Linked DNA regions of Arabidopsis thaliana. The protein of the gene in region 4 interacts with the protein of the main gene of each other region in a pairwise test. Each region holds a gene or a part of one and is shown on either strand. Other genes may lie near its edges. The genes, in order: GIF2, GIF3, AN3 and GRF4.

Region 1 (4,264 bases), on a different chromosome or scaffold from region 4:
ATTACCGTCTTCATTGGTTATATGATAACTTGATAAGTAAAGCTTCAATAATTGAATTTGATCTGTGTTTTTTTGGCCTTAATACTAAATCCTTACATAAGCTTTGTTGCTTCTCCTCTTGTGAGTTGAGTGTTAAGTTGTAATAATGGTTCACTTTCAGCTTTAGAAGAAAATGGCATCAGGAGGTAAAGCCAAGTACATAATCGGTGCTCTCATCGGTTCTTTCGGAATCTCATACATCTTCGACAAAGTTATCTCTGATAATAAGATCTTTGGAGGCAAGTTCTGCTCAAGATTTATCTAGTTTTGTGTGTGTTTTCAAGTTAGGGACGATCTTAATGGTTATCTTCTTGTGAAAATTTCAGGGACTACTCCAGGAACTGTCTCTAACAAAGAATGGTGGGCAGCAACGGATGAGAAATTCCAAGCATGGCCAAGAACCGCTGGTCCTCCCGTTGTTATGAATCCCATTAGCCGTCAGAATTTCATCGTCAAGACTCGTCCGGAATGAGAAAATAATAAGTTCAATGCTTTGATTTTCAGAATAAGATGAACGATGACGATGTTTTCTAAATCCGAGCTTGTACTAAATAACAATACATTACAACACGGTTTGCGGAACTACTCCACAGTCTATCTTCTGTTAAAAAACTCAAACAAGCTATTGCAAAAAGCCCTTACGAGACTCACAAGTCCTAAATATCAACAAAACAAAGCTTCTTTGGATCCTTTTCACTTGCCATCATCTTTTCCTTGTCCATCTGCTCCATCTTGCTTTCCTCCTCTAAGCCCCACTGTTAGCAAAGAAAGAAGTAATGGATACAAGTTACAATTTATGAGATTGAGTATTGTCTTAATAATGTAAAGAGAGTTACCGTTTCCTCCAAGACCGGTTTCTGGTTGTTGCATCGCATGCTGCATCCCGTTGTTGGTCATACCCATTGGTCTAATCCCCATGTGTCCTTGCATAGCTTGCTGATGTATCTGCTGCTGCTGTTGCGGATCCTGAAACTGGAGTGGGCTACCAAACTGTAAAGGACCCCTTGGAGCGAAAATCCCTGCAGGGGATGCTTGTGGGTGTTGCATGAAGTAGCTAGGTGGTTGCATCCCAGAATGCGGTGTTGCCATCTAACAGAAATCATACCCAACAGTAAGCAAACCCCCAAACAACATTAAATTTCTGTGATAGATCGCAATTGAGTTTTATCATCACAAACAACCTGGGCAGCGACAGCTGTAGATGGTGAAGGTCCTGGCGTAGGTGGTGGGGGTTGAGCATCAGCAATTGCAGCAAGATACATCAAGTTCTTCTGGAGAAGAGCTTGGTACCTGAAAATATAACAGAGCAAAAGATAGAATAACTATATAAACCTCACCATTAATAATAGTAATTCTAAGCTTCCATTACTATCTAAGAGACATAAGAAGATGGATAGAAAAGGTGAGACTTACTGGGCGCACTCAGCAAGTTTACCGAGATTCTGGTTTTCCATGATGGCCATAATCAGCTTCTTGTTCTCATCAAGGTACTGCGTTTAAGCAAAGGAAAGAGAATGACAAGGAAATGACGATGCAGCCTATCATCTTACCATGGAAGACATCAAGCCAAGAGAAAGTACAAAACAACAACATCAAGCAAGCATCTAACTTCAATGTCCATTCTTGAAAACCGGATTCAAAGTTTCCTGACCCACCAAGCATCTACTAATTTCCTAGTCCTAGAAACTGTCTCTTCTCATCATCACCAACAACAGACTCTCAAGTGTTGTGGAATTAACGAGAAAGATTCAAATGAAAACCCTAATTGCCACCAATTACAGTCAAAAGAGTATTACTTGCACTCAGAAGCCAATGATTTTGTCAGTACAAAAAAGCTCTAAGAGCCTCCTAAGTAGTGTTGAACAAATTAAGAGAGAGGGAGAGATATAGGGTGAGAAAGAAGGAACCTTTTGGATCTGTTCGGTAGTGATGTTGTTAGCAGGGGGAATCGACGGAACCATCGGAAACATTTGCGGAGACTGCTGCTGCTGCATCTTCTTCTTCTTTACTACTTACTTTGCCCCAACTAAACCCTAATTTCGTCTTCCCCAAAAAACCCTCGACAAAACCCAGACCGATCCAAACGCAGGAAATGATTGCAAGCTATATCTATATATATTATAGAGAGAGAATCCTGCAATTTATTACTTGGATTCACCTGGATGTCGAACCACCTCTGTGTGGATTTTATGACCAAAAATGCCTCTGTCTCTCTCTCTCTCTCTCTAATTTGTCTTTACAAAACTCTAAACGAAAACATAAAACATTAATTAATACAGCAACGAGCAACCTCTAACCAAATTAGAAAGTTTTGGATATATTTGGGCCAATGGGAAAAAAGGACATATTTGGGCCTAAGACGGTTCTAAGGCCCATGGACCATCGAGAAAGTTACATTGCAAAGTACTACATTGAGTCAGTTTCTTCCTTCTTCGCCTAAATTCGAAATTTCGAAACCTCAGACACACTTACAGAGAGACCAAACGGTAACATACAGTAGCTTCTTTTTCTTATTCGTTAAGAAATCTCACGTAAACCCTTCGAATTTCTCAAATCTTCACTCGGAATCTGAAAAAAAATGGTGAGTGATCTCCCGCTTGATGAAGATGATATCGCTCTCCTCAAGAGTCCTTATGTAAGCACCCCTTTTAGAAGAAACCTTTAATTTATTTTTTCTCGAATTTTAGTCTTTACTCGGATGTCGCTTGTGATACGTTAGAGAACAATTTGATATTTTTTACTGTGTAATTAGAACAAATTATGTCTTAATTGGTCTTAGATAACCTTAAATTGGTCGATTTAGTTCAATTTTGTGTAAACACTCTTACTTGGATTTATCTTCTTCTCTATCTTAGATAGGTGAAATTGTTGAAGAAATTGGCTTTGTGAGAGAAAAGCGCATTGCTCATTGTATTGTTCAGTGTGATGATGGTGGTGATGAGGACGTCAACTCTGCTCCAAACATTTTCACTTATGATAATGTGCCTCTTAAGAAGCGCCACTACCTTGGGACAAGTGACACTTTCAGAAGCTTTGAGCCGTTGAACGAACACGCATGTATTGTATGCGATATTGCAGACGATGGTGTAGTACCTTGTTCTGGGAATGAATGCCCTCTCGCTGTTCACAGGAAGTGTGTTGAGCTTGATTGTGAAGATCCTGCAACCTTTTACTGTCCCTATTGTTGGTTTAAGGAGCAAGCTACTAGATCCACGGCTTTGAGAACAAGGGGTGTTGCAGCTGCGAAGACCCTTGTTCAATATGGATGTAGTGAGCTGAGGAGTGGAGATATAGTCATGACGAGAGAAAACAGTCAACTAGAGAATGGTTCTGATAATTCACTACCAATGCAACTACATGAGAACCTTCATCAATTACAAGAACTGGTCAAGCACCTTAAGGCTCGAAATTCCCAGTTAGACGAGTCAACAGATCAATTCATTGATATGGAGAAATCTTGCGGAGAAGCTTATGCTGTTGTTAATGATCAGCCAAAAAGGGTACTATGGACAGTCAACGAAGAGAAGATGTTGAGGGTAAAACCACCACACTTTTTTCTTGAAATACACTTTTAGCTTAAACTTATAGTATATGTTTATTTTGGATAGGAGGGAGTGGAGAAATTTTCTGATACAATCAACAAAAACATGCCTTGGAAGAAGATTTTGGAGATGGGAAAAGGTATATTCCACACAACTCGTAATTCCTCCGATCTTAAGGACAAATGGAGAAATATGGTGCGTATGTGATTCCTTTCACCATAAAATCCTTAGAAGTATTAAATGACGCATTTGATATCAAAAACATTAAGACAAATCCTAGTGACCTTTTGAATTGGCAGTATAGTAGTGTGACGACTTTGATGTTAGTCCTTCCTTGTAATCGCAGTTTCGGATTCCTCCGTGTAGATCTTTTGGTAACAGTAGTCCTTATAGATGATGTTCGCTTTGTATCCCTTATGTTGATATTAAGAGAAGATAACGTGTCTTTTGTAGTAGCCGTCCCACTCTGTTAGTCTTTTGTTTTGTACCCTTCTTTAAACAAAACAGAGGATTGAGAAAAAGAGAATCATATGGGAATTATGGATATAATTTTGAAGAACTTAAAAATAGGTTAATCTTTTAAGACTATGGGGAGATAACTTGTCGCACAAGTACCAAATGTTTCGGAAACAAAGGTGAAAAAATCTACAAACTTAACAATAAAACCACAAGTCTTCCATTTG
Region 2 (4,477 bases), on a different chromosome or scaffold from region 4:
CATACATTATCGGTGCCCTTGCGGGATCTGCGGTAGTAGCTTACGTGTGTGACAAAGTTATTTCTGATGATAAGCTTTTTGGAGGCAAGTTTTAAACCTTATAAAGCTACTTATGATGTATCCAGAAAGCTAAATTTGGTTTGGTTTGTTTTGAACTCTCAGGTACTACACCAGGAACTATTACTAACAAGGAATGGGGTGCTGCGACTGAAGAGAGATTACAAGCATGGCCAAGAGTTGCTGGTCCTCCCGTCGTCATGAACCCTATCAGTCGCCAGAATTTCATCGTCAAGTCACGTCCTGAATAACTTTTGATGCCTTCTCGTGCATCGTTCTCATTCGTTATGGATTCATTTTCGAATATCTGCTCTTTTGTGTTTGATTTGAGGATCGGCTGATTGCTCTAGCTGGTTATAGTAATAATTTGTGTTGATGCGTAACACATTATTCGGATCAAGCTTTTCCCCGATGCATAACTTTTGTAAGGTTTGTTGATTTTGACGATAAATGAAATCGAGCCAAAAAGAAAAACTTCTAAGACATTATTGGTTTGTTTGGTTTGGAATTTTGTTATCGCTGATTCTGTAAACATTTTTAAAACTGTTACTTTTCATCTCAAGCCTTGGAATTAATTATCACACAAACCTGGAGGCAAACTATCAGGTAAACGTGATTCTAAACCCGGTTCATACACCAAATTGAACCGGTGACACTAATACCATACAACAACATTTAACATTGTACATGTGAATGTGAACCATTCCACATCCATCTAGGAACTGAAACTCAACTGTCTCAGAACCCTTTTAACAGAGACTAACTCATAAAATGACAAAACCTTTTTTTTATATCATCGTGAAGAAAGTAAAAATGAAAGGTAGAACCTAATTGATATCAACAAGAAGCATCACTTATTCTTCCTCTATTTCATTTTCCTTCAGTTTTTGCATCACCACCGCCATGTCTAGCGGCTGAGCCACCTTGCCCATCAGCTCCACTCTGGCTCATATTGGTCCCATCCGGTTTACCTCCTCCACTAGCATCGTTAGGACCCGCTTTTGGTAGAGAAAGAAGGTGAAAATCAGTAATGTGATAATAAGTTCCAAACTGCTGTAAAACCAAATATTACCATTGTTTGCGGCAAGAGCAGTTTCATGGTGGTGCATTTGATGTTGCAGTCCGTTGTTATTATTCAAACCCATTGGTCTAATCCCCATGTGCCCTTGCATAGCTTGTTGATGTAACTGTTGCTGCGGATCCAGAAACTGATGCGGGCTACCAAATTGCAATGGACCTCTAGGAGGGAAAATCCCAGGAGGTATTTGTTGAGCCATTCCCACAGCTTGATGTTGCTGCATGAAGTAGCTTGGTGGTGGCTGCATTGATGACGGATTAGGAGCCATCTACAGAAACCAAACACACACAAACTATAAGAACCAAAATGTTTTGTTTTTCAACTGATCAAAACAGAAACTTACTGCTTGGGGAGTCATGGCTCCTGATGTTAGTGTAGCTGCTGGTGGCTGAGGTTGAGCATCCGCAATTGCAGCGAGATACATCAAATTCTTCTGGAGAAGAGCTTGATACCTAAAAGAATCAAGCAAGAACCATGTTTTATTATTAATATTCTATTTACCATCAGTAAAGCTAACATAGCTCGGTCTTGGTATCGAGAATCCCACACTTACTGAGCACATTCTGCAAGTTTACCGAGGTTCTGATTTTCCAAGATCGCCATTATCAGCTTCTTGTTCTCATCAAGATACTGCAAGAAGCAGCAATAAGTGACTCACTGTGTCAACATGTCATCTTCACAATCTGATTTTAAGCTTTCAAATCTCATATGCATACAAATACTCTGTTTTCACTCAAAAAAAAACTCCAAACTCATGATTGTACATCCAATTCCAGTAACAAAAAAAAGTTAAAGCGGAAAACAATGACACTTTAAAACAAATCATACTCAAGAAGGAAAGTTCATTACAACAGTTTAAACTACTCAAAAACATCATTACACAACCAATTTCAAAGCTACGATAAACAGACATTATGACTAAACAACAGAAAGACAAAAAATATAGAAAGTAAAGTAGTAACCTTTTGGATCTGTTCGGTGGTGATATTATTGGTGGGCGGAAATGAAGGAAGAACCATCGGAATCATCTGTGGAGATTGCTGCATCTTTTATAATTCACCAATCAAAACTCTGAAACAGTGAAACCCTAAAGTTTCTTCTCACGATTATTACAAAACAATAATTCTGAGTGATAGAATTGGTTTAAGAGCCCAATGCAAAACAAACTGATGCAAAAATATTCAACAAACGAATATTTTGGATTATCCTTAAATTTAAGACTTTTGATTTGTTTGAATTTCGCCGACGAGGTTTCTGGGAAATCGTAGGACAAAAAAGTCCCCCAACCAATTAATTTGTCTCCCCCACCGAATGTACACGTGGCACCTTGTCTGATTTTTCGTCAGCTCTACGATAACCAAAAAAAGACAACATTTGTAGCTGTTATTATTTATTGGGCCTGTTAATGGGCCTTATAAAGAATTATGAAAGCTTCTGTGTCAAGAAGAAGGTTACTTTAAATCTGTATCAATATCAGCTCCACGACGGCGATTCGTCGTTGTCCTCCGAACCAAGCAAACTCCGATCCCTCACCGTGGCTCCGGATATTTTACGGCGGTTGTTCCCGGCTCGGACTCGAAGAATTGTCCGGATTCTCCCTTTGACCAGGCTGGAGATGAACCTTTTCCGGTTCTGCTCCGGTCTGAAAGTCCTCGGCTATTTCATGATCCTTCTTGTCGTCGCCGTCGTTGGTGTATCTTACTACGCCGTCGTAGTTAGCACATGGTGGCCGATCTTGATCCGCGGAGACCATGGAGCTTTATCCGCCCTCGCTGCCTTAATCATCTTTGTTTTCCATTTCCTGGTAATTTCCAAGTCTCATAATTTCAGATTAGGTTTTGTTTCTGGAATTGTAAGTCTAGGTTTTCTGCTACTTAACCCCTAAACCTTAAACTTAGGGATGTGGCATGAAACTTATGTAGCCAAGAGAATGAGAAATGCAATGTAGTTATGAAGCATGAAGCAGTGTAGATACATAATCATTGTTTAGACCATTGATTGTTAGTAAATGTTTAGGCTCCCTGAGTTTAGGTTTACAATTATACTTCTGATTTGCTTGGTTCTTTGCAGCTGATAATGCTGTTGTGGAGCTACTTCACAACAGTTTTTACAGACCCAGGTTCTGTTCCTGAGCATTTCAGAAGAGAAATGGGAGGTGGTGACAGTTTGGAGGCTGGTACTTCGACAGATCAAGGAGCTTTTGGCTCTTTAGGTTACTGTACCAAATGCCGGAATGTTAAGCCGCCTCGTTGCCATCATTGTTCTGTGTGTAAGGCGAAATCTGATTTGTTTATACTATGTTCTGCTTGTGTTTCTACTGATAGAGAAAGAAAGCTTTATTCGGTTCTTTGTTTCCTTATGTAGGTCAAAGATGTGTTCTTAAGATGGATCATCATTGTGTTTGGATTGTAAACTGTGTTGGAGCACGCAATTACAAGTTTTTCCTTCTCTTTCTGGTAAATATTCATTTCCATTGTAGTCTCTTATGGTTCTTAAAAGGTTTAAGCGAGCATTGGGATTATTTGATTTGCTGATTTCTTCACCCTCTTTTTTTAATTTGTAGTTCTATACTTTTCTTGAGACAATGTTGGATGTTATTGTCTTGCTTCCTAGTTTCATTGAATTCTTCAGCCAAGCTATAAAGCATTCTTCTTCTCCGGGTAAACTGGCCTCTCTCGTTCTGGCATTCGGTGAGTATAAACGGTTCTTTTTCTCGTTTTCCTTTTCCCAGAAAGTGCTTAGCTTTTTTCTGGGTCTCATTTTCCGTCTTTATGTTTCTTACAGATTCTATCCCCTTGATGCAGTTCTTAACTTTGCGTTCGTTCTCAGCCTTCTTTGTTTCGTAGTCATGCATATTTCTCTTCTCTCATCCAACACTACTTCAGTTGAGGTAAATCTTTTATGTTCTTGCTTTCACAAACAATCTAAGTCTTGAAAATATGAGTCTCTTCTCTGAATCATTGTCTTATTTTTTTAGGTTCATGAGAAAAATGGAGAAGTCAGATGGAAATATGACTTAGGAAAGAAGAAAAACTTCGAGCAGGTGAGATTTTATTGTTTTCATCATTCCATGGATTGTTAGTTAATTAAATATATAACTCTTTGTTTTCATCTTGTGAAGGTTTTTGGGAAGAAGAAGGCGTTTTGGCTCCTCCCATTGTACTCTAAAGACGATATCGATAACATAACTTCCCTTGAAGGCCTTGAATTTCCAACTTGTTCTGACATCGACCCTTGATTGAAAGTTGAAACAAAATCAATCAATCATATTCGAAACAGCCTTCAACTGCACTCCAATGTAGATAACTCTCTACTCAAAAAGAATTCTCATTGCCAATTGTT
Region 3 (5,034 bases), on a different chromosome or scaffold from region 4:
TGAAGTCTAGTAGAGCAGGCATGAAGCCAACATGTCAAATACATACTTGGGGCCTATGGTGGTGCGGTCTAAACATTTAACTAGTGTTTGTGACATATTGTTTCAAGGCTTATAGTTTTGCCAAAGGGAAGGAAGTAATAGAATAACTGAAGACTTCTCTTGGCTTGTGATTGAGTTGTAAAAAGCAGGGGCTGGGCTTGGCCTCCTAGGGGAATCCAGACACTAGAAAAACAATCGTCGATGGAACTCTCAACTAAGGGAAATCCACACTCAATACTACTTGAAGAATCTAGGACGAAGCAAAGGGACCAAAAGACACATTTTTGAAACCCTCTTTTCTTCACGAGACTTTATCTTAAATGGACCCGAATATGGTCTTTGGTTTGAGTGCAGCTTCGGGTGGCTATGGTCCGGTCTTCAGCAGTATGGGACCTTGCGAGGACCACTAAGGCTGGTCATATGAGTCTTGGACTGAACCGGTTGGACTTTATCAACTATAAAATAAAATTATGTATAACAGCCAGAAAAAAAAAACAATAATATAGCCTACATAACGATTTAGAATCCAAATAGGTAACATCAATGATCTACAAAACTTCAGTCCTGGTTAAAGCAAAAGAGTCTAACTCAGAGAAATAACATATTAAGATTACGACACAACTTGGAGCCAGCAGATTTACATGGTACACTACCACGAAAGAGGTTCACTGTTTTAGGGAACAAACATAGAGAGAATAACAAAACTAAAAAGAAGTAAATAAAGAGTTCTTTGCTTCTTCAACAAGCAACTAAAACCAAAACACACTAACTTCAAGACTCCTATTATTACTACTACTTCTTCTGCTGCTGCTGCTGCTTCATCATTAAGATTCCTTGTGCCACACTCTTTCAATTCCCATCATCTGATGATTTCAAGTAAAGGGTTTCTCCACCATCCCCTGAACTTCCTCCTCTGCCTTCACCGCCACCACCACTTCCCATTTCCGGCTTCCCACGGCCAAAATCATGAAACCCACCAGCCTCTCCCTGAAGGATATGGAGACCACTGCTTCCTCCTCCTCCGCTGCTCGAGCTCATTCCAAGCTGGCTATGGTGCAATTGCTGATGCTGAAGCGTCGCGTAAGGCTGCTGCTGCTGCTGTTGCTGAGCATACAACATTGAAGATCGAGCCGCCATTAGAGACTGCTGAGTCATCTGTTGCTGTTGAGTCGCTTGTTGCTGCTGCAAATAGTGTGACCCTCCTTCTCCCTGAATCATCCCACCACCAGCAGATCCATACTAATAACCAAACAAAACAAATCACTTTCTCAATTGATCATACAACAAAATTTGGAATACTTCACTGTATAAACAATCACCTGGCTATGCACACTTGGTGGCTGAGGCTGAGAATCTGCTATTGCAGCTAGGTACATTAGGTTGCGTTGAAGCCTTGCTTGATTCCTATAACCATTTTAATCATCATTTCTTGTTACTCAACAGAACACAAGTGAAATCATAAAGGAGATATGTTGTCTCTTACTCGGCGCATTCGCTAAGCTTTCCAGAGTTTTGAGACTCAACAATCTTCAGAATCAACGATTTGTTTTCGTCCAAGTACTACAATCAAACATTTTCATTAATCATTACTAATGCTACAAACAAAAAATTTGCATACTATTTTGTTTTTGTTGTAATAAAGACATAGAAAATCTCAAAAGGAGACCCCAGTAACTTAAATTCCGACTTATCTCAAAAGACAATAATGTTGAAATATCACAAAAGTGTAACGAAAGATTTTCTTCGAAAAGATTTTGAGGACCACACAAAAAAAAAACTGAGATAAGGACCAGATGTTGTTTCGGACCACAAAGTATATCTGGTCATGTAAGCAATAAAAGAAACACTTGGACTGGAAAATACACATAGATCTACTTATAATGATAACAAATCTAAACAGGACCACCCACAATATTCACATAAATGGCTTTGTGGTTTTTGCCATCAATGAAACTTCCAGAACCCGAAAACCAAGACAAGAAGAAAAAACGAGATATGTGAAACAAATCTTCAGTTCCCAAGATTTGTCTGTTTTGAACACGTTATTTTTCATTACATGTTTCAAGAACTCAAAACACAACTGGACCCTAAACATTCATTTTCATTGAAAGAAAGAATCTTTCTTAACTTTGTCTGGTTTTAGACATTTAATTAGCATCAAAGTTAACTGATAATACACCAAATCTATAAGGAAAAGAAAAAAAGTTGAAAGAATCATCTTAGTGACCAAAGCATCTCTACCAACCAAATTTATCAAACATAAACACACATGTATTAAAACTAATTTCTCTATGAAAAAAAAAGACATGGAAACAAGAATAACAAGAACTCTTTTACCAAACAAAAAAGAACCAATGAAAAAAAATCATCTATGTTATGAGAACAGAAGAAAAGGGTTTCACATACTTTTTTATATAATATAAAGAAAAAGTTATAAGGTACTTGCAAGAGAGATTTCTTCACTTTCCTTTATGAATTCAAAGAAACATATAATAAAGAAAAAAGAAAGAGATAATATAATAGAAGAAGAAGGAGAAGGAGGAGAAGGAGAAGAGAACCTGTTGGATATGATCAGAGGTAACATTGCTGGGGTAGTAACCAGCCATCATGGGCTGCATCTGCATCAGGTGCTGTTGCATTTCTTTTGCTATTTTATATAAAACCTGATAATTCCTTCTTATTTATTTATATATTTTATATATATAAGTTTTTATAGAGACAACCCCCACCACAAAACCCAGAGGAAAAAGAGAAGTCTCACCAAGTGAGAGAGAGAGATATTAACTTTTGTATCTGTCTCTCTCTCTTTCCTCTATGCTTCTGTATATAGAAAACTCTTAACTATTGAAGATGTGTATCTCTGTGTGTGTGTTATCTCGCTTTCTCTCCTCCACAAAAGTTGTTTTGCGTTAAAAGACTGAGAGAGACAGTGAAGTCTCTTAAATAGAAAGAGAGAGAGAGAAGAGAAGAGAGTGTTTTTCTCTTTTTCTTGGGTTTTGGGGTTTGGTTTTGTTGGTTTCTTTCTGTCTCATCCTATCTCTGTCTCTGCGAAGAAGAGGAGGTCACGTGACGAGTCATACTTTATTATAGAGACGTGAGACCTTTACATATATACTACTACTTATCAATATGTACACATTGTTGATTAAATTATTACTTTGAAGTTTGAACCCTTCGTATATAGAGACGTAACTATATACCAAATAATACTGTTTACTCCTTCGTATGTATATACGGTGTATTTACTTGTATATATATGTAATTATGTATATTAAAATCTCTTACAACTTTTGTATAATATTTTCTACATTTATAGATTCATTTCGGGATTTTATAATAAAGTAATGCAAAGTAGGATTTATTGTTTTCTAGATTGTTTTGGTAATTTATTGTTTTCTAGTTTTCTAGTTTTCTTTTACTATATCAAAGAATATTTTTGTCGTCTTATTTTGTTTTGGTAATTAATATATAAAAAAAAGATGTCTTTAGTTTTTCGAAAAATAAGATTCATGTATTTACATTTTAATATAAAAAAATGTTCTACATAGGAGTTTTTAACCTAGTGGATTGAATTTGTATTTTTTTAATAATTTATTATATTTAGTTTTACACAACATTTTTTTTACAATGGTTTAATTTTTTATCATGAGAGGTCACATCTAGATGCGATTCTTCACATTTAAAATAAAATGGATTAATGAAAAAATTAGATTAAGAAGTAGCTATGTGAGATAATTTTCTTTGTAGATGTTTGATTGTGTTGATCAAAAGAGTCTCTTCTCTCTTATACCTTAAAATCATATTTATAGGATTTAATCTCAACCAAATTACTGAATTATGTTGTGACTTAGTCTTCTTATGCGGATTAGATTTGGCATAACTAGTTCCCTAGAACATGTTATCAAAACAAGTGTGTTTGGTTTGTTAGCTTAATGATGTTTTTCATTTTGTTTTAAAAGTAGCGCATGACTCGTCTCGTCTCATCACTAACCATCTTTATGTGTTTTGGCAAAATGCCAAAATGTAAACACATTTCTTACGCTTACCAATAGTTATCTTCTTTTTTTTTTTGGTCTTTTTTTTTTATCGAATCACGTAACACATTATAATTGACTGATATCTTAATAGATGAAATTTATCCTCAACAATGATCAATACATGTTTCTTTTTTTTTACATATGTTAATACTAACTCGATCACTTGTCTCGACCAATAAGACGAGTTATCGACCATCAAAACACTGCCCTAACTTGGTTTGAATGTTTAATATTGATGATTCTCAACCAAAGGGTCTCTAAAGTTTTTGAAATGCTTTTGTAAAGAAAATAATAATAATTAGTTTGGAGTTATTTGATAAGTCTCATTAACTTTTTGTTCGAATTCTTGAAGTACGTTTCGATGGTCGGTAATTTAAAAAGAAAAAGATTCAACAGCTATATTATCTTTGCGTGGTTATACTTAATTCCACGTTAAACCCTCTTGTAGATGTGGTTAAATATTAATTAACACTTTATTCGTTGGTACCAAAAATGGATCCGAGATATTCCTTCTGCATATATGAACCACGGAGGCTCAACTTTTAATGTTTGTTTGTTTAACTATAGTATTATGTATGAACATTAAAGTAATCTGTAAGGATAAATGAATTGTTTTCTTTTCCCGATTAATTATGTCTTATAGACAATAACCAAACCAATAGTGTTTCTATGCCATCTAAAAGCAAACCAAAAACACTAGGAACAAAACTAAAAATACCATTTCTTCTTTTTTATCAGACCAATATAGTTGTTTGCATACTGTAAATTGAGATTATGAAGTTAAAGGTAGGATTCTGAAACGCTTACAAATGATCAATTCATTTTGGTTAATACCTAAAAGAAATATTAAATTTTTACGACATTAATTTTATACTACCTTATTTTCTATATAACAGCCATAAATTTTATAGTTAATGTGAGGTTGATGTTGAATCCTCTTACATAGAGAAAAGTGTTG
Region 4 (4,745 bases):
ACTTCATTTCCTGATCAAAAGTAAGTGAATCAAACTTCCAAAACACTTGTTCAAATCAAGACTAAAAATTCACATATCAATTGCATAAATTTGAGAATTATTGTACAAAAAAAACTTTAATCAGACCATCAAACAAACATTTCGAAAAAGGGTTTTAGAAATTAATCAGAAAGTTTAAATCTTGACGTACTTTAAAGGCGGAAACTTTCTGGCTCCGGAGCACGGAATCTGGCGAGAGGAAACGACAAATGGTTCTGCTAAATGTCTTCGCGATTGAAGCAAGCAAGCACAAACCCCAAGATTGTGAATTAGAGATGGACCGGAAAAGGTTTATTCCGGTTAAGTTCGAGACTTCACCGTCTAATCAATCTATACGATGCCGGTGATTATCAGGGTTTTGGTTTTACATTATACCGGGAACCGGTTAATTCGAGGTGGTTTAACTGGTTTCCCAAAATTGATTCGGTTTAGCTTAAGTGAAAAGCTCAAGTAACCACCTCTCCTGTACTTACTTGCAGGCAGAGGATCATATTAGTTTCATTGCTTATACAAAATTGTCAAGCTTTAAACATAAATATAATAGCAGAGTAAGGAACAAAACAATTCCAAAAGCAGAACTCACAATTCCAAAAGAAGACAAATTCAAAGATTATTTTCTGCAGAAAATAAAGATTCAAAGAGCACAAACCAAAAAGATTACAAACACTTTTCTTTAATGAAAAACTTGAGTAGAGATTCCCATCTGATGAAGAACACTTGACGTCGAAGAAGCTGACCTCAAAGCCTCAGCTAATGGTCCTCCCATATTGTTGTGGTGATTCCCTCCATTGCTCCACCAATTCATTTGCTCCCTCTCATTGTTGTTATTTCTCATGTTCTCTTCTTCTTCTTCATTGCCTGTGGAAAGTTTTAGAGAAACATCTGAGGACGTGTTGTTACCGGGCATGGAGATTGAAAGATGACAAGTGGATGAGCTCATTGGACTGGAGGTAGAGTCTGATGATCGTGGCCAATCGTCAAAGAAATGCCTCAAGATGTGACCATCGTCTGATCTTCCATTGCTGAATCCACTGTTAGCTTCATATGGCCTCTTGTTGTTGTTGCTTTCTTGTTTCATCTCTGAAGAACAACTGTGACAGAGAGGAATAAACATAAACATAAACATTGTCAACAAAAAGATCCAACATTTGAACAATAATAAGTAGACTGATCAATTCAACAAAATGGTTAGAGAAATAATTTAATCAGTCAAATGTGTGTGTTAATAAGAGGAAGTGGTTGCAGAATCTGAGAGCTTTATTTTGTTTGGCTTCTATGCAGGTTTGGTCAGCTTTCACTGAGGTCCTACCATGTCATTATTTCAAATACAACATAAGTATACATATCTCTTTAACTTTCTCTCTCTTTTCTATTTCTATGATTGAAAAGTCTCACCCAACTAGTAAATAAAATTAGATTCTATCAAATCCAACTGTTATCATTATCTCTCAACAAAAGAAAGAATAATGTTTTTATCACAAAGTATGTATGATAAGTCTCTCTTGTCACCCTATTGCCAACATTACCCCTTTCTTCACAGCATTACTTCACAGTGAAATCACTATTTCCCTAACAACAATATTTGTAATTAACCAAATCTACTAATGACTTTAATTAAACAGAGTGTTTGTGTTTTTTTATTGTACCTTTGTTGATGACTAAGGTGGAGAGGTTGAGATGAACCAGAGGAGAAGAAGTGGTTGTTGTTTGGTCCATGACCAAGCTCCTCACCTAAGACAAAAGAAGATGCGGTTGTTGTGGCTGTCGTTGTGATGGTGGTTGTGGCGGTTTCCACAGGCTTTCTTGAACGGTTTCTTCCACGGTGAATGTGGCGGTCACAATACTTGTGGCCCGCTACAACATCCCTTGAACATCTCCATTTCTTGCCGTCAGTTCTCTTACACCTCCCTGGCTCAGGATCCATTGCTCCTCTTCCCCAATACCCTGTTTTTTATTAAGTGTGTGTTGTTCATTAGTAACAACAAACATAAATCTCACTCAAGACATTGGTTACGAAATGTACTTGTCTGATTCTATCTATGTTGCTAATAGATCTTCTAGAAATAGGCTTATCATACACATAGGGTTTTAACTCCTTGCAAGGTTGCAGAGCAGCCTTATACTTATTTTAGATCTTGGAAATATAACTCCAACACCAAAACAAAGGGAATCTTTTTTACAAAGAAAGACTATTTCAAGGATAAGAGAAGCATAAACAATAGAGAGGAGAGAGAGACTGACAAGAAGGTTGGTGATGAGGAAAACTATGTTGAAGAGGATGGTGAAGGAAATGCATAGGAGATTGATGGAGGAGACTTTTCTTAATAGGTAAGAGAAGCTCTTGAGGAACAGAAGCACCAGCCAACATGTATCTATAGATCAGTGCTTGTAGCTCAAGTTCTTGCCACTGTGCCCAGCTGAAGAAGTTTCCCATCTCTACATATATATGTAACATAGAAACGTCAGATTAAATATCAGCAAAAACAACTTCAACATTAGAGTGAATAAGTCTTGTCCTTTTAAAACAACTTACTGAGGAACCTGGAAGAAGAAGAAGAATTAGAAGAGTCAGGAGAGAAGCAAGAGAAAGAAGAGGAAGAAGTGGGTTCAGGGACAAAGAGAGGAAGAGGAGCCGCAGCAGCAGAAGTAGCAGTTTGGGACTGAATCTGATCAAAGAAAAAGTTTGATATCTTAGTTGCAGCAGAGCCTTGTTCTTCTGACTCATTCTGCTGCTGACTTCTCCATTGTTTCAGTTGCAAGTCCATGGAACAAAGAGAGAGTGAGTGAGAGAGAGAGAAAGAGAGACAGACAGAGAAATGTGTTGGTTGCTTTTGGGATAGTTTTTTTACCCTCACTTCTTTTGTTTTTAGAGAGTCTGGCTTAATAAGCAAAGACAACCACAACAAAAGTCTTATTTGTTTGGCTTGTCATGTAAATACCCAAAATAAAAAACTTTTTCTTCTTCACTCTTTTGTTAGAGAGAGCTAGAGAAAAGTGTTTAGACTATGAGACAAGACAGTTGATAGGATAAACAAAATTAGTATATAATATTTGATTGATAGGTTTAATAAATTGTTACTTTATGTGATATAAAAATTATGTAAGTCAGAAAACAAAGAGAGAAAGCACTGCAAGATGCAGATGGAGAGATAGTAACCTGCAGTGTTTATGTCTCACTGCCTTGGAAATATCACTTCCTTTTTTTACCTCATTTTAATATTCCTTAAGTAGGTTAAAGAGATGCCTATTATGATATTGTTATTATGTTTTTTTATTAAGGATTCATTTAATGTGATGTAGAGTAACCTTCAATTTTTGTCTTACAGATGTCATTTGTCTCAGAGATTGTGTTACAAATGTATGAGATTCTAACTTCTAAGCATGATTAATCATTTGGGTTTTGACTAAATAGTCTCCATTTGCAGAGAGCTACAATACAATCTCAGCTCTATTTACTCTCTTTGGTTAGTAAGTTTTCCAAATACTTTACCATTTTAGTGGTTTAACCATATTTGTCTTTTAATTTGTAACCGTCATTACTTTTCTCATCTGTTACAATATTATTGTTACTCATAAAATATTATGTAACGTCTGTGTTTGTTTGATTTATTAAAAAAAAATTATAACTTCCTTATATAAATGTAGAAATGGACATTTATCTTTGTGTTATCTTAAAAAGACATGGCTAGCTAGTAGTATATGTACATATCTAAACACATCGAAAGGAGGGAATCATATTATTACCAGAAAAGGCCAAGTAAACTTGGAAACATTTGTTAAAATGAAGTTAGAAACATTTATTTGATATCTTCACTTGGCTGAATAATACAAAAGACATTTATGATTTTCAAAGTATCTTTATTTGGTGGTGCCAAAACAAAAAACGATAGCATTATTTTGTAGTTTTGAGGAAATAAAGTAATAAATATGAGAAGGACGATAACGATATTTCATGTAGGAGTGAGCCACAACCAAAGACTATGATGACTATTGAGAGAGTTTCTTGAGTTTTCTTTTCATTCATTCCCACCAGTTTCGGCGGCATTTATATTTGCACTAAGAAAAATATAAGAAAAACTCAATTCCTTAAGTACAGTTCAATGTTATGTACACTTCATTTGCTGTAAATCTTGTGAACCAAATAAAAAAGAAGAGGAATATCATAACATAACACCCAAAATAAACTTTGTTTTCAAAATATACCATAGGTTCTTTTTGACTTTGTAAAATTTTCCTTTTTGAAAAACAAAAATCTTTGTAACAAGTATAAAGCGGCAACTGAATTTAATAAACATTTTACGTTTTTTTTTTTAGAATAGAAAAAATATTTCGCAAATGGCCTAAACAAAATATTAGCCTCTAAAATAGAAATATTTTTTGTTGATACTTGATAGTATAATGGATCTTGTGCACTAATGATGGGTCTTAACTAATAAAGTAATAATGGATCCTGTGCACTAATATTTTGGGCCAGAACTTGTCATATACCAAAGATAATGATATCGAAGGAAAACAAACTGAAAGCAAAGTGTGAACGTAATGACATATTGTATGTCTTTTTTCAATCATGAACACGAACAAAGATTACATGCAGATGCAGTAATACTAATGGTAACAAAACAACCAAACAAATGTTGATTATCTAGACTAACTTTATATATATCTTGTTTAAACTTTAACCTACATGGTTATTAGGTTATACATGG

What was found.
Region 1: the proteins of GRF4 (region 4) and GIF2 interact in binary tests that used the Arabidopsis thaliana proteins (3 or more experiments, as listed by UniProt).
Region 2: the proteins of GRF4 (region 4) and GIF3 interact in binary tests that used the Arabidopsis thaliana proteins (3 or more experiments, as listed by UniProt).
Region 3: the proteins of GRF4 (region 4) and AN3 interact in binary tests that used the Arabidopsis thaliana proteins (3 or more experiments, as listed by UniProt).

Annotation. Positions count from the first base shown.
Region 1 is NC_003070.9:70,352-74,615, reverse strand, and holds GIF2 (GRF1-interacting factor 2), read right to left. Parts: upstream 2,260-4,264; 5' UTR 2,034-2,259; coding exon 1,947-2,033; exon of another isoform or gene 1,702-1,946; coding exon 1,600-1,701; exon of another isoform or gene 1,530-1,599; coding exon 1,453-1,529; intron 1,330-1,452; coding exon 1,221-1,329; intron 1,129-1,220; coding exon 876-1,128; intron 795-875; coding exon 733-794; 3' UTR 520-732; downstream 1-519. Other genes in the region: AT1G01170 (ozone-responsive stress-like protein (DUF1138)), read left to right, coding at 173-278, 366-511; AT1G01150 (Homeodomain-like protein with RING/FYVE/PHD-type zinc finger domain-containing protein), read left to right, coding at 2,618-2,674, 2,895-3,575, 3,648-3,776. UniProt on the Arabidopsis thaliana protein: Transcription coactivator that plays a role in the regulation of cell expansion in leaf and cotyledons tissues.
Region 2 is NC_003075.7:355,379-359,855, reverse strand, and holds GIF3 (GRF1-interacting factor 3), read right to left. Parts: upstream 2,512-4,477; 5' UTR 2,182-2,511; coding exon 2,098-2,181; intron 1,766-2,097; coding exon 1,689-1,765; intron 1,588-1,688; coding exon 1,479-1,587; intron 1,404-1,478; coding exon 1,130-1,403; coding exon of another isoform or gene 1,056-1,129; coding exon 928-1,055; 3' UTR 519-927; downstream 1-518. Other genes in the region: ATOZI1 (monopolar spindle protein (DUF1138)), read left to right, coding at 1-84, 163-308; AT4G00840 (DHHC-type zinc finger family protein), read left to right, coding at 2,751-2,939, 3,206-3,404, 3,500-3,591, 3,699-3,825, 3,940-4,025, 4,113-4,178, 4,257-4,373. UniProt on the Arabidopsis thaliana protein: Transcription coactivator that plays a role in the regulation of cell expansion in leaf and cotyledons tissues.
Region 3 is NC_003076.8:10,646,943-10,651,976, forward strand, and holds AN3 (SSXT family protein), read right to left. Parts: upstream 3,121-5,034; 5' UTR 2,679-3,120; coding exon 2,598-2,678; exon of another isoform or gene 2,446-2,597; intron 2,434-2,445; exon of another isoform or gene 1,600-2,433; coding exon 1,523-1,599; intron 1,444-1,522; coding exon 1,359-1,443; intron 1,279-1,358; coding exon 889-1,278; 3' UTR 525-888; downstream 1-524. UniProt on the Arabidopsis thaliana protein: Transcription coactivator that plays a role in the regulation of cell expansion in leaf and cotyledons tissues.
Region 4 is NC_003074.8:19,615,465-19,620,209, forward strand, and holds GRF4 (growth-regulating factor 4), read right to left. Parts: upstream 3,044-4,745; 5' UTR 2,805-3,043; coding exon 2,573-2,804; intron 2,476-2,572; coding exon 2,281-2,475; intron 1,984-2,280; coding exon 1,686-1,983; intron 1,131-1,685; coding exon 713-1,130; 3' UTR 513-712; downstream 1-512. Other genes in the region: AT3G52905 (Polynucleotidyl transferase, ribonuclease H-like superfamily protein), read right to left, coding at 1-7. UniProt on the Arabidopsis thaliana protein: Transcription activator that plays a role in the regulation of cell expansion in leaf and cotyledons tissues.